2 linked regions of the Elephas maximus indicus genome follow. The protein of the gene in region 1 binds, or shares a complex with, the protein of each later gene. Links are inferred from orthologs where the notes say so. Each region holds a gene or a part of one and is shown on either strand. Other genes may lie near its edges.

Region 1 (7,807 bases):
TACCTTTGGAACAGGAAGAAAAATGTGAGTCATCCTGGGGGTAAGCCTTAAAGGGGCCACAGGGCACAACAGGCTGAGTGCTCAGGTCCTGGTGTCCTAAGGGGTCATAGGCCATAAGAAGGAAAGGGATTTTAGGCTCAGTACCAAAGGTTCTAGCTTGAAAGTAGGTTCCCAAGAAAAGAATGAACAAAGTATGGACAAGGAAACTGCAATACCTACCGCTCTTAGCCCTGTCTTTTCTGAAAACCTATATACCACACTTCCTGAGGAGTCAGGAGCCTTTGTCATTCGCCGTCTACCACTGCCAGGCTCTCTGAGCATAGGGTAGGAAGCTTCTCACCAATCCTTCGCAGTTGACACACTTAGCTTTAGTTCTACTGCATTTTATTCAGTACTTTAACCAAATTTAGAGACTACCACAAGTGAGGAACGATGATACAAATAAAGGACTCCAAATATACTTACCTTGTTGACTCTTGACATAACAGCAAAAATGGCAGCATCAGTCATGACAGTTGTCTCAATACCTGCTTTGGACAAATTGATGGCCATTTCATGACCCTGCAAAAGGAAGGAAAGGCTGATGCAGGGAGAAAGAGTGAGACACAGTGAAAGAGCTCTTAAACGTAACTGGATCTGGGGACTTCTGTGATACTGGGCAGATCCAGAACACAGTTCCCAACAGACAAACTCATTTTCTGCCTATCCTAAGTATTCTCTGGTAAGGTGCAGGGGAGCCCAGGGTAAGCTAATAAATGTCTAATACCCTAGAGCAGCCACGAAACTGGAAATGCTACTTGCTTGCATAATCAGGCATAGCTAATAGCTGACAGGATAGATCCTGACTTGTTATTTTACAACATCCTGCATCTTTACATATTATTTTCTTTTTTGAGATCTATTATTTACCTAGGGATTGAGTGAGGTTAGACCAAACATCAGTCATCTCGAACTTAATGTATCCCATTTTGATTCCTAAAAGGACCAGTATTTATCTTTTCTTGGACCCAGCAGTTCACCAAACTTTCTTAAACCAATGTTTAAAGATGTTCACAGGATGAACAACTTGAAATCCTTTTACTGTTTCACTCTATCTTGTCAATGTCTCAATGTCTTGCTTATCATTTGAAAGTTGGCATGGACCCCACCCACCCCTCCTTTAGTCCCGCCTCAATTTCCTTTTTCTTATCAACTCCAGCAGTTCCCTACCTGGCAGAAAGGAGCACACTCTGCCACAATGACATGGAATTTCCGCTTTCGGGCAGCCTCTTTGAGGAAGGCCTCTACTGTTCGGGAGTAGCCAATGGTCATGATCACCTCATTGGAGTGGATATGCTCCAGAGCCTGGGCTGCAATGTTCTCCGTTGTCCCTTCTGCAAACACAGCCAGTTTTGCAAAGCAAACATGAAATTGCCATGCCAGGTCACAGACAGACATGACAGAATATGGAAAGGGCAGTTTGCCCCTCACACAGACTATCCACCTAGCAGACCCTGGTACCTACCACAGGGTTAATGGACTTCAAGTAAAATATCAGAGTTTCTTAAAAGTCCCACTTCTTTGGGGTTTTCTGCCTCCCAAGTTCTCAGCCTGTCCTTTTTCCGTGCAGCACCTTTGCTCATCAACCACCTCCACATCAAAACCTCTGCCATGACAGTTCAGACAACACTTGCAACTGATTTTGAAGACAATGAATTCAGGCAAGAAACGATCGAGTCTGGAAAATCCTCAAGTGCCCAAGGTAGGGTAAACAGAGCTTCCCCCTTAAAGAGCTCTTCTTCCAAAAGGTGGCCACAACACCTCCACCTGAAGTAGAGGCCAGGGAAGAAAAACAGGAGGAATTTGGGAGCTGCACCTTAGGGCACAGACAGAACTCCAGCTTCTTTCTCCCCTGGAGGAACTCTGTAATGAACATCTGCAGGTTTCATGAGTCACAAAGGCAAGTAAGAGGGATGGAGGTGGTGTGTAACAATTCAGGAGGAAGTTTAATGCAGGAGGGTCTACCAACTGTGGTTTTAGGGAGTTCATTTTCTTTAAAATGAGAACAAAACCCTACCTTAAGAAAACTCTCTGCCAGCAATGGATTTGTAGTTTATAAAGGATGAAGAACAAACCTGAGAACCAGATGACTGGTTGTTTCTCATCTCTGTTGATGGACAACTTCCAGGGTCTTCTGTTCCCTCACCTGCCGGCTACCTGTCCTGTCTGCCTAGGGATCAAAAGAACTCTTACCCAGCTCCACCAGCAGCTCATTAATTGCCTCGATGATATTGGACTGGAGTTGGGCATAATAGAAGCTGAAATCCTCACTCAGGCCTCCGGATGTCAAGAGCTTGTGCAGGGACTCCTGCTGATCGCTCTCATCGCTGCGTCCGTGGAGTCTATGGGGTCAACAAGATCCAAAGATGGAGGTGGAGAGGAGGTGCAGTTAGGGAGGTAGCAGGCGGCTCCAAGCAGGGAGAGGGGCGTCACTGGGCCCACCTCGGAGCCCGGGACGTGGGTCTGACCTGCCATACTCCTCCCGAATGATCTTCAGCACTCTCCGCACCATGTTGCCCACTGTAGTCTCTGAGGGCTGCGCCGCTGTCATTCTCTGGCCCTCTCTGCGGATTAGCTCCATCAGCTCCCCTACGGTGCACGAGAGAGAGAGTGAGCGAGCGAGCAAGAGCGCGTTGAGGCCAAGGCGATCCTCAACCTCAGGAATCCGATCGAAAACGGGCAGGGTCGCGGGTGGGGCTAGGCCTGCCTCACCCGCGTTGCCCCAGGGGTGGTCTGTGATGATCCGCCGTAGTAGTCCTAGGGTCTCCCGAGCCATGTCCTCGGAGCTGCGCCGCCCGCCGCCCCGCTTCAGGGTTTCCACGAAGCTCTCGATCCTCTCGGACAACTCCGAGACCTTCGCCGCGGCGCCTGGCATCTCGAAAGCGACGCCCTCACCCACAAAATCCACATCGGCAAGACGCCAGAGCTTGCACTTCCGGGGCGGGAGAGGTCGGCTTCCGCTCTGGGAGACGAACTCGAGTTTGGGGGAACGAAGGCCACGCCCCCAGCTGCCTGCTCCCGCCCCTCGTCCTCCTGAGCCAATCAGAGATGCGGGACTCGTTCGGTAACAGCAAAGGATCTGCGCGACCCCAGGACCAGAGGGCCTGAAGTGGCTTTTCCAGGCTCCTCAGGCGCTATTTACAGACGCTGAACAAAGGTGACGTGTGAGGCCTGAAGAATACAAGTCCCGTTGCTATGGGAACAGCAAGACTCTGAGCTCCCCCTACCTCCCGCCCTGAGACTACGCAGGAGAAGTTGCCGCCCTCCTTCCTGGCCCTCCAGCTCCTGACACCGACCTTTTATGCGTTCTAAGACCACTGCCACTTGGGCAGACGCCCCATTATAGTGTTATAATGCATGATACTGGTTAGTTTGTGTGTGTGTCTCTAAGAGATTCAGCTCTCTGAGGACAGAAACCGTATCTTTTTTGTCTTTATATCCCCGACGCTTAGTACATCTAATACAAAACAGAGGAATCAGGAATGAGGAGACTACTCACTAAAAAGTGACAAAAAAACAAAACATCAAACCCGTTGCCGTCGAGTTGATTCTGAAAAGTGGGGGCTGATGTGGGGCAAAGATGATGTTTTCTGATTTGGACAGACTTGTCCTACAGAGGATGGGCAGTATAACATAGTACTTAAGAGCTGCCATTTTTTCCAAGCTTTACTAGATGTGGGCACTGAACTGTCTCTTTTAATGCAGCAACTCTGTGAAGTAGGTTCTCTTATCCCCATTTTATGGATTAGGAAACAGACTCACTGAATCTAAGTAATTAGTAAAGTGATGGGTTAATATTCAAATCTAGGTCTGAATCCTAAGTCTGTGTCGTAGGAATCTCTATTTTCTTAAGATAAATTCTTAAAAGTGGAATCCTTGGGCACACAAATTTTTAAAGACTTAAGTTACAATTGACAAGTTGCCTTCCAAACAGATTACGTTGTTTTTGTTGGGTGCCTTGGAATCGATTCCAACTCATAGTGACCCAGTAGGAGAGAGTAGAACTGCCCTATAGGGCTTCCAAGGCTGTAATTTGACTGCCACATCTTTCTTCCACAGAGCAGCTGGTGGGTTCCAACCAACATTTCTGTTAGCAGTCAAACACTTAACCACTGCACACCAGGACTCTTTTTAAAAAGATTACGCCAGTACCAAAAGCAGACAAAGATAGTACAAGAAAAGAAAACTACAAACACGGACACACAAATCCTCAGCCCATTATTAGCAAATTGAATAGAGTAATATGTAAAATACATAAAAAGAATAATGCATCATTATGTAAAAAGAATAATACATCATTACCAAATGGACTTTAAACATACGAATGCAAAGCTGATTCAACATTTGAAAATCAGTGTAATCCACCATAGTAACAGTCTAAAGAAGTAAAGCTGCACATGATCATATCGGCTGATACAGAAGACAGCATTTGACAAAATTTTAACAACCATCCATGATATAAATTCTCAGGAAACTAGGAATAGAAGAGAATTTCCTCATCTCAATAAAGGGCATATACAAAATTCTACACCTAACATCATACTTAAAGGTGAAAGGCTGAATACTTTTTCCCTAAGATTAAGAACAGGAGCCCTGGTGGCATAGTGCTTAAGAACTCGGCTGCTAACCAAAAGGTCAGTAGTTTGAATTCACCAGCCGCTCCTTGGAAACCCTATGGGGCAGTTTTATTCTGTTCTATGTGGTCACTATGAGTCAGAACAGACTCTATGGCACCTAACGACAACAAGAACAGGAACAAGGCAAAGACATCCATGCTCACCATTCCTATTTGACATTATGGCAAAAGTTCTAGCTAGTGAAAAGAAATAAAAGACACACAGTCTGGAAAGAAAGAAAGAAAACCGTCCCTATTCACAGAAGACATGGTTACCTCCATAGAAAAACTCAAGGAATCACCAAAAACAACAAACAAAAAAAACTCCTAGAACTAATAGGTGAGTTTAGCAGGGGCACAGGATACAAAGTCAACGCAGAGAAATAAATCATATACTATATACTGTTATATGGTAGACAGGTTTCAGCAGAGCTTCCAGACTAAGACAGACTAGGAAGAAGGACCTACTTCTGAAAAAACTGGCTAGTGAAACCTTACAAAAAAGCAATGGCACATTATCTGATATAGTGCAGAAAGGTGAGCCCCTCAGGTTGGAAAACACTCAAAATATGACATGGGAAGAGCTGCCTCCTCAAAGTAGAGTTGACTTTAATAATGAGGATGAAGTCAAGCTTTCAGGACCTCATTTGCTGATGTGGCATGACTCAAAATGAGAAGAAACAGTGGCAAACTTTCATTAATAATCGCAACATTGAATGCACAAAGTATGAATCTGAGAAAATTGAAAGTCGTCAAAAATGAAATAGAATGCATAAAGATTGATATTCTCAGCATTAATGAGCTGAAATGGACTGGTATTGGTCATTTTGAATCAGACAGTCATGTGGTCTATCCTGGGAATGACAAATTGAAGAGGAATGGTGTAGCATTTATTGTGGAAAAGAACATTTCAAGATCTATCCTGAAGTACAACACTGTCAGTGATAGGATAACATCCATACACCTACAAGGAAGACCAGTTAATATGACTATTATTCCAATTTACTTACCAACCACTAAGGCCAAAGATGAAGAAATTGAAGATTTTTACCAACTTTTGCAGTCTGAAATCGATGGAACATGCAATGGAAATGCACTGATAATTACTGGTGATTAGAATGTGAAAATTGGAAACAAAGATTGGTAGTTGGAAAATATGGCTTTGGTGATAGAAACGATGCTGGAGATCACATGATAGAATTTTGCAAGACCGATGACTTATTCATTGCAAATAGCTTTTTTCACCAACATAAACAGTGATTACATATGTGAACCTCACCAGTTGGAATACACAGGAATGAAACCGACTACATCTGTGGAAACAGATGATGGAAAAGTTCAATATCATCAGTCAGAACAAGGCCAAGAGCCAACTGCAGAACAGATCATCAATTGCTCATATGCAAACTCATGTTGAAGCTGAAGAAAATTAGAACAAGTCCATGAGAGCAAAGTACGACCTTGAGTATATCCCACTGAATTTAGAGACCGTTCGGGAATAAATTTGATGCGTTGAACACTAATGATTGAAGACCAGACCAGTCGTGGAATGACATCAAGAACATTATACATGAAGAAATCAAGAGGTCATTAAAAAGACAGGAAAGAAAGAAAAGACCAAATTGGATGTTAGAAGAGACTCCGAAGCTTCTTCTTGAATGTAGAATAGCTAAAGCGAAAGGAAGAAATGATGAAGTAAAAGAGCTGAACAGAAGGTTTCAAAGAGTGTCTGGAGAAGACAAAGTAAAGTATTATAGTGAAATACACAAAGACCTGGAGTTAGAAAACCAAAAGGGAAAAACACACTTGGCATTTCTCAAGCTGAAAGAACTGAAGAAAAAATTCAAGCCTCAAATTGCAATAGTGAAGAATTCTAGGGGCAAAATGCTGAACAGTGCAGGAAGCATCAAAAGAAGATGGAAGGAATACACAGAGTCATTGTGCCAAAAAGAATTGGTTGACATTCAACCATTTCAGGAGCTAGTATATGATCAAGAACTGATAGTGGTGAAGGGAGAAGTCCAAGCTGCACTGAAGGCATTGGCGAAAAACAAGGCTCCAGGAATTGACGGGATACCAACTGAGATGTCTCAACAAATGGATGCAGCGCAGAAGTGCTCACTTGTCTGTGCCAAGAAATTTGGAGGATGGCTGCTTGACCAATTGATTGGAAGAGATCCATATTTGTGTCCATTCCAAAGAAAGGTGATCCAACAGAATGTAGACATTATCAAACAATATCATATGCAAGTAAAATTTGGCTGAAGATCATTCAAAAGTGGTTGCAGCAGTACATTGACATGGAACTGACAGAAATTTAAGCAGGATTCGGAAGAGAACAGGGAAACAGGGACATCATTGCTGATGTCAGTCGGATCTTGGCTGAAAGCAGAGAATACCAGAAAGATGTCTAGCTGTGTTTTATTTGATTGCATGGATCATAACAAACTACAGGTAACATTGCAAAGAATGGGAATTCCAGAGCTCTTAATTGTGCTCATAAGGAACCTGTACATAGACCAAGAGGCAGTCGTTGGAACAGAACAAGGGGATACCATGTGATTTAAAGTCAGGAAAGGTGTGTGTCAGGGTTGTGTCCTTTCACCATACTTATTCAATCTGTATGCTGAGCAAATAGTCTGAGAAGATGGACTATATGAAGAAGAACGGGGCATCAGGATTGGGGGAAGATGCATTAACAACCTACCATATGCAGGTAAGACAACCTTGCTTGCTGAAAATGAAGAAGACTTGAAGCACTTACTGATAAAGATCGAATTCAACAGGCTTCAGTATGGATTATGCCTCAACATAAAACAAAAATTCTCACAACTGGACCAATAAACAACATCATGATAAACAGAGAAAAGATTGAAGTTGTTAAGGATTTCATTTTACTTGAATCCACAATCAACACCCATGGTCAAGAAATTAAACAATGTATTGCATTGGGCAAACCTGCTGCAAAAGACCTCTTTAAAGTGTTAAAAAGCAAAGATATCACTTGAGGACTAAGGTACACCTGACCCAAGCCAGCATTATGGTGTTGGTGAAGAATATTGAATATACCATGGACTGCCAAAAGAATGAACAAACTTGTCTTGGAAGGAGTACAGCTAGAGTGCTCCTTAGAATTAAGGATGGCAAGGCTTC
Region 2 (7,603 bases), on another chromosome or scaffold:
CAAGTTAATTACAGATGTAACGGGGACAGAAAAAAGCAGAATGAGAAAGGTGCAGCCACTGCTTTACGATTAACGATGTATTGCAAAACAGCTCTTTAAGGTGTTAAAAAGCAAACCTGTCACTCTGAGGACTAAGGTGCCCCTGACCCAAGCCATGGAATTTTCATTTGCTTCATATGCACATGAAAGCTGGACAATGAATAAGGAAGACTGAAGAAAAATTGATGCATTTGAATTATGGTGTCCTTGAAGAATATTGACTATACCACGGACTGCCAAAAGAATGAACAAATCTGTCTCGGAAGAAGTACAGCCAGAATGCTCCTTAGAAGCCAGGATGGTGAGATTTTGTCTCACGTACATTGGACATGTTATCAGGAGGGACCAGTCCCTGGAGAAAGACATCATGTTTGGTAAAGAAGAGGGTGAGCGAAAAAGAGGAAGACCCTCCATGAGATGGACGGATACAGTGGCTCCAAAAATGGGGTTAAACACAGCAACAATTGTGAGGATGGAGCAGGACCAGACAGTTTTTCATTCTGTTGTACATACGGTTGTTATGAGCTGGAACTTACCTCATGGCAGCTAACAATAACAACAACAACAGGGGTAGCCTCCTGGAATGGGGGCCATTTAAACTGAGACCAGACTAAGGAAGGATCCAGCCCCATAAAGATCCGGTGGGAAAGTTACCAGGCGTAGACTATAACAACGCAAAGTCCCAGAGATGGGCACAAACTTGGCCTGAGGAAAAAAGAGGTGCCAGCACGACTGAAGCAGAGCTCAATGAGGGGGAGCAGAGAAGGAAGTAGGTAGCAGACGCAGAGGAGGTGTGCAACGTGGTGGAGGCCCAGGGCTTTGCATGTTATTGTAAGGACAAGGGGAAGACACTAGAGACTGTCTTAGAGACACCGGTCTCTAGGTCAGCCCTTTAGAGGGCTCTTTAATATCATGCTACATCCACGTAGATACCCGGGTGGCATGATGGTTAGGAGCTTGGCTGTTAACCAAAAGGTTGGCAGTTCAAATCCACCAGGTGCTTACTGGAAACCCTATGGGGCAGCTCTGCCCTGTCCTGTAGGGTTGCTATGAGTCAGAATCCACTCGACAGCAATGGGTTTGGTGTGTTTTTTTTAATACCCAAGTGTTTACATTTAGGATGTCTGAATTAATAGATCACAGTTAATGTCATTAAGTCCAGAATTTATTCCAGGACATTCTCTCTAGCACCTGCACAGAATCTGGCACAGGGAAAACGTTCGATAAACATTTGTAAAGCTGAGGTATTGCTAAATTTTAAACTTTACAGTTACCTTGATACAGCAGTTACTCGCACAGAAAGGATATTTCACTTATAAAAGGGGGGCCCTTTGCCAGTGAGTTTATGGTAATGGGGGTGGAGCAATTCAAAAAAGGAGGGTGAGAATGGCTGCACAACTTGAGGAATGTAACCAATGTCACTGAAGTGTACATACAGAAACTGTTGAATTGGTGTATGTTATGTATATTCTCAACAACAACAAATAAAATTTAAAAAAAGATTTGGAAATAAATAAAATTGTCAATACTCAGAGATTGAAATGGGGGGAGCCCTTTGATGATAACTTGAGGACTCTCTACAGGTTAAAAGGAACGCTTAAATGAAGAAGAATGTGAGCTTGGAGCTCTAAGACCTAACGTAGGCAGACATACATCTCTCACTTTCTTCACTTCTCCTAACAGCTATTGGAAGACTTTCCTAAGGCCCAGCATGTTTGAGGATGCTCTTCTCCTACCTTTATCTCTCTTTAAGAACTCCAGCAAAGTTCGGATGGCAGCCACTGCTGAGGCCATGTCAGGATCTTCTTTGATCTGAGACTTGAAGTATTCAATTAACTCTGGGAAAGGAGAAAAAAAGAGACATGGTTAATGACTATTAACCTTAGGAAAAAGGAGCCCTGGTGGCACAGTGGTTAAGCACTCAATTGGTAACCAAAAAGTTAGTGGTCCAAACCCAGTCAGCAGCTCCACAGGAGAAAGACCTGGTGATACGCTTCCCTAAAGATAATGGCATTGGGAACCCTATGGGGCAGTTCTGCTCTGTCACTTAGGGTCGCTAGGAGTCGGAATCGTCTCGACAGCACCTAACGATAACAACAGTAGGAAACAAAACAAGGAATACTTTCTTTTCAAGGTTTTGGCTGTAAGTGAACTTCAGGGGGACGACAAATGTTAATGGGAACGGAAATGACGCCACTTTACTGTTCGTAAGCTTTCTTCCTGTCTCATTTTGAAAAGGCCGTCCATGTTCAATGGTATAAAATTCAAGCTCTGCTAAATGATAGTGAAAAGTCATTCTCCTATCCTTAATCCCAAGTCCTGAGAGGATTTAGAATCAACCACCATTATCAGTTTCTTCTACATCCTTTCAAGGAGAGTCTTGGCTAATTCAAGCGCACGCACACATATACACATCTGTGTACGCAGAATTCCACCACCCTTTGTTTTTTTACATGATAGGTACTTTGTACATTAGCTTGCTCCTTGTTTTTTACTTAAATGTCTTCAAAACCATATTAGAGGAGTATGTCGGCTATGCCTTACTTTTTAGATTGTAACAGATCCACTAGGGCAGGGAGTCTTATTGCTATTTCACATACGAAGAAGGCGAGTCTTCGAAGGCCTGCACGCTCGTCCAAAGTCTCACTTTTTTGGAGAATGGACATGGGAAGAAGCGCGCGGGGGAGGGCAGTGCCTGTGGACACTCTCAGGGCCCATCCCCCACCTATAGGAGCAGCGAGGGAGATGTAGCTTTTACTAGAAGAAGGACACGCTGCAGAGCTGCCTGAGCTTGGAAAGCGACCTCTCTTCTCTCCGTGTGCAGCCTGGGCGTGCGAGATGGGAGACCCCGACCCGCTTTAGGCGCAGTGGCCCCAGCCTGCCTCGCCCCACTTTACCCTTTTCGTCCATGGTGCGCTCCGGACGGCGAAGCTCGGGAAGATCAGAAGCACCCGCGCTGCCTCGACAGATGCCGCGACTGTGCCGGCTCGAAGCCGCTGAGACTGACAGCGCGCGCCGCAGTTCTGCAGCCCATTTCCGGCGCGCCGGGAGCGTGTCTACGAGTACGGCGCGGCCCCGTCCAAACCTGTCCCGACGTCACTGGGCAGCGCCGGAAGTCGGTCCGCGGATTCCCGACGGTCGCCCGATTGCTGCTGGCTCTGCGCGGAGGCCGCCATGGTCTCAGACGGTGAGAGTTGCGCCGGGGTTGGGCGGACTCTGCCCGGCCAGGACCGGCGAAATGGAGTGTAGTTTTTCGGCTGGATGGGACGTATTTGGTGTTTAGAGGAGTAGCGAATGCATTCATTCATTCGTTCACTCAGTAAATGTGGAGCGGGTACTGTGTGCTAGGCATTATTTTATGCGCTGAGGATACAGCAGAGACCATGATAGACAAGGTCTCTGCTCTCATGGCATTGCATTCTAGTGGGCGAGACAGACAATGAGCAGGAAAACAAAAATAATCTCAAGGGATGACAAGAGCCACGAAGACAATATGATAGGATGATGTGGTAGCTTGTGCTTAGTGGAGGGAGCAAGAGCTACTTCAGTCCAGGGAAGATCGTAATGTTTAAACTAAGACTTGGGTCGACCATGCGAAGTTCCTGGGGGAGTGCATTGTAAGTGCAAAGGCCTTGTGGCAGGTCAAGACGCCACATTACTGAGAAGACAGAACTGGGGAACCTGGTGATGGCGAAGGTGGGGAGGCATTTATTCATACAGTAAACTACAAGCTGTGAAGCATGATGTCTTGAGGGAAGAAAAAGGAGGCCAGGATGGCTGGAGCAGACTGAACTAGAAGGACAGTAGAAGAGGATGAGACCAGAGAGCTGCCAGGTGCTGCATCATGCAGGGCCGCATAGCTGGAGCTTTAAGTGTGATGCATACTTAAGAAATATTATGATCTAATTTACATTTTTGAAAGATCAGTTTGCTGTGTGGAAAATGGACTGTGTGAGCAAGAGAAGAAATAGGAAGATCCATTCTGAGGGTGTAAAAATGGTCCATGCTTCTCTTATCTGTTTTAATATACACGACATCCCTTTGAGGGGGGCAGACCTGGCTTTTCTTTTCTTGTGCTTTAAGTGAAAGTTTACAAATCAAGTCAGTCTCTCATATAAAAACTTACACACAGTTTGCTGTGTAACCCTAGCCACTCTCCCCCTAATATAACAGCACACTCCTCCTCTCCACCCTGTATTCCCCATGTCCATTCACCCAACTCCTGTCCCCCCTGCTTTCTCATCTTGCCATCAGACAGGAGATGCCCACATGGTCTCGTGTCTACGTGAGCCAAGAAGCTCACCCCTCGCCAGTATCATTTTGTCTATATAGTCCACTCCAATCCTTGTCTGAAGAGTTGGCTTTGGGAATGATTCCAGTCTTGGGCTAACAGAGAGTCTGGGGGCCATGACCTCTGGGGTCCCTCCAGTCTTAGACCATAAGTCTGGTCTTTTTGAGGTCTGCATCCCACTGTTCTCCTGCTCCATCAGGGATTCTCTTTTGTGTTCCCTGTCAGGGCAGTGGGCAGACCTGGCTTTGTTGTCCCTATTTACAGATGAGGAGGTCGAGACCCAAAGGACGTTCACAGGGACATTTTGGATGTACTGATACACATAACTCTCCACACAGGCAACATACTCTCTTTTTCTCAGGCTGTCTTGGTAACATCAGAGAACTAACGGTTCTGAGAATTGTGAGGTGGGGCCTGATGGGGAATACAGGTAAAGGTTTGAGGGCTTATGGGTAGAGAAGTGAGGGCCTGTGGGAGAGACAGTTATTAAAGCCCTGCTTCTTTTTTTTCTGTGCTAGCCACTTTGTGATTTACACTTATTACGTCATTTGTCCCAAGACTAGCAAAAATCATTCTTTAAGGCCTCCACAGTTTAGTGAGCAGGGCTGGGAAGAGAGATGAGAAGCACACAACTAACTAACATGAGGTAGTGAGAGCTAAATGTCATTAGAGGAGTGTCCATTGGTGCAGCTAGTGGTCAGAGTCAGGCTGTGGGGCAATGAAAAACTACAGTCTTTAGAGTCAAGGAGATCTGTCTTTACAGCAAGGTCTTGGCTTTGCCACTTGCCAGCAGGACATGTGACTTTGGGCAACTTGCTCTTATTTGCAAAATGAGAATACTGTATTTCATGTAATCTAAGATGACATGCTGTTATTTTATGTACCTCTGAAGAGACAAAACATGCTGTCAATTTTAATAGTAAGGCACCACCCTGAGTTTAATGAAAAAAAAAAAAGGAATGCCTTGTAATTGATGAAAGACAGGATTCATAAATATAAAAATAAAAGGAAAAAGGAATGCTTATAACTGATGAAAGACAGCATTCATATGTCCCTTGTTGGGTTGCTTTTAGTATAAAACAGGATTATGGGATTATATATGCCAGTGCTTGGTGCAGAGAAGGCTGGCATTCCCTCTCACCTGAGAGGAGGGAGTCAGGATCTCTTGCTGGAAGACCTGTGGAAGGCTTTGGGAAGAAAGAGGTAACATTGCTTTTGGTCCTTGAATTTGTCAGACCTTTTACTCCTGTGACACAAGAAAGAACGCAGTGGCTTGGAGGAGGAAAGGGGGAAGGTACAATCACATGGAAAGCAGGCGAGAGCGTGCTCAGGACCCACTAAGTTTTAAATCTTTAAAAGAATTTGGCCTTCTGTTAATATGGCTGTGGGATGATAAACATATAAAAGCATGTGTTGGTGCTTGCTCTAAATTGTACTAATGGGGAATGTTAGCGGTGATTCACTCTCATGAGACTAATGTATTTTTTTTTGTTGTTGTTAACATTTTCAGAAGATGAATTGAATCTTCTAGTGATCATAGTTGACACCAACCCAATTTGGTGGGGAAAGCAAGCATTAAAAGAATCTCAGGTAAGACTGCTTAAGGAAGCCTTTGGATGATTCTGGTTTAACTGAGAACGTGTTTATATTGCTTTGTAACAAAAAACAGCTTTACAAAAACCAAACCCAGTGCCGTTGAGTCGATTCCGACTCACAACGACCTTATAGGACAGAGTAGGACTGCTCCATAGAGTTTCCATGGAGCGCCTGGCAGATTCGAACTGCCAACCCTTTGGTTAGCAGCCGTGGCAGTTAACCACTACGCCACCAGGGTTTCCATAAAACAGCTTTATGAAGGTATAATTTACATACCATAAAATTCCCCCATGATAACGTACAAGTGATTTTTTTAGTACATTCATAAAGTTGTGTAATCGATCACCAGCAGAATCCCTCTTTAGAACATTTCTGTCTTCCTGCAGAGTTCCACCCTGTCTGTGTGCAGTCAGTCTCTGTCCCCCGCCCCCCAAGTTGCTGGCAGCCACTGACCTGCTGCTTGAGTCTGTGTTGTCTTTTCTGAACATTTCATATATTGATTGTGTATATAGGTTTTTTTTGGTTAACTCTTTCAATTGTTTTTCTATTGTCTATTTAATTCTGCTCTAATTTTTATTATTTGCTTTAGATTTTTTCTTAACTTCTGTTTTTGGAAGAGATCGTGTAGAATTGGTGTTAAATCTCCAGGCCCAGATAGTTTCCCTGGAGAATTCTGCCAAACAGTTAAAGAAGTAACACCAATTCCATGAAATCTTTTCCAGAAAACAGAAGAAGGAACACTTCCAAACTCATTTTATGAGATCAGTATTACCTTTACACCAAAACCAGGTAAAGACAGTACAAAAAAAGAAAACTCTCATGAGCATAGATGCAAAAAATCTTCAAAATAATTAGCAAATCAAATCCAGTAATATATACAAAGAACTACTTGCCACGACCAAAAAAAAACCCCAAACCAAATCCTTTGCCATCGAGACAGTTCCGACTTATAGCGACCCTATAGGACAGAGTAGAATGGCCCTATAGGGTTTCCAAGGCTGTAGTCTTTATGGGAGCAGAAGGCACATAACTGTCTCGAGGAGTGGCTGGTGGGTTTGCGCTGTTTACCTTTCGGTTCGCAGCTGAGTGCTTAACCACTGTGCCACCAAAGCAAACTAAGAATAGAAGGGAACTTCCTCATCTTGATAAAAAGCATGCACCAAAAATACTTGGACAGTTAACATTACAATTGTGAGAATGTGAGCTCCACGAGAGAAGGGATATCTGCATGTTTAGCAGATGACTGATTTGAAAAGTTTTAGAAATCACCAATGTAATCATGTATTATACGGTATCATGTATGTATTAAGTATCTATTCCATGTGTAGCGACAATTTGCTAGTGATACCTGCACAGAAGACATGAGACATTTGTTATTCTCTAAATGCTACGCGAAAAATATTTTTGGGATATTGTTCTGAATATCTGACGTAAGTAAAACGAGGACTGTAGTTTTCAAGGGTTTTTGCTAATGGCTTTGCAGGAGGGGAGCTCCTGAGCACATTTTTAGCAATGAGTAATTGTGATTGCCTGTTAGTCATTTCAAGGCCTGACATACGTATTTGGATCGCTAATCTATCTTTGAAATGTCTTCGGTTTTCCAACAGTTCACTTTATCAAAATGCATAGATGCTGTGATGGTGTTGGGAAATTCCCATTTATTCATGAATCGTTCCA

Evidence for each region.
Region 2: the proteins of EIF2B2 (region 1) and EIF2B1 are in contact, whole or in part, in a cryo-EM structure (PDB 7F64), measured with the Homo sapiens proteins. The link is inferred for Elephas maximus indicus from reciprocal best matches to the Homo sapiens genes EIF2B2 and EIF2B1. Residues at the interface, in NP_055054.1 of Homo sapiens: Glu107, Ser108, Leu109, His110, Leu112, Leu113, Thr114, Ser115, Asn242, Phe278, Asn280, Glu281, Glu282, Ser334, Tyr337, Arg338; in NP_001405.1 of Homo sapiens: Leu71, Arg74, Phe75, Leu78, Arg96, Leu99, Phe100, Arg103, Lys110, Thr117, Phe118, Lys120, Ser232, Phe235, Leu283, Asp287, Leu288, Val290, Thr292, Ser294, Ala295, Asp298, Glu299, Leu300, Lys302, Leu303.

The regions. Positions count from the first base shown.
Region 1 is NC_064828.1:87,718,037-87,725,843, reverse strand, and holds the start of EIF2B2 (translation initiation factor eIF-2B subunit beta), read right to left. Parts: upstream 3,025-7,807; 5' UTR 2,915-3,024; coding exon 2,752-2,914; intron 2,629-2,751; coding exon 2,508-2,628; intron 2,382-2,507; coding exon 2,233-2,381; intron 1,374-2,232; coding exon 1,210-1,373; intron 562-1,209; coding exon 466-561; intron 4-465; coding exon 1-3. UniProt on the Homo sapiens protein: Acts as a component of the translation initiation factor 2B (eIF2B) complex, which catalyzes the exchange of GDP for GTP on eukaryotic initiation factor 2 (eIF2) gamma subunit.
Region 2 is NC_064840.1:6,740,372-6,747,974, reverse strand, and holds the start of EIF2B1 (translation initiation factor eIF-2B subunit alpha), read right to left. Parts: upstream 3,097-7,603; 5' UTR 2,950-3,096; coding exon 2,937-2,949; intron 1,878-2,936; coding exon 1,776-1,877; intron 1-1,775. Other genes in the region: GTF2H3 (general transcription factor IIH subunit 3), read left to right, coding at 3,214-3,226, 5,841-5,920, 7,534-7,603.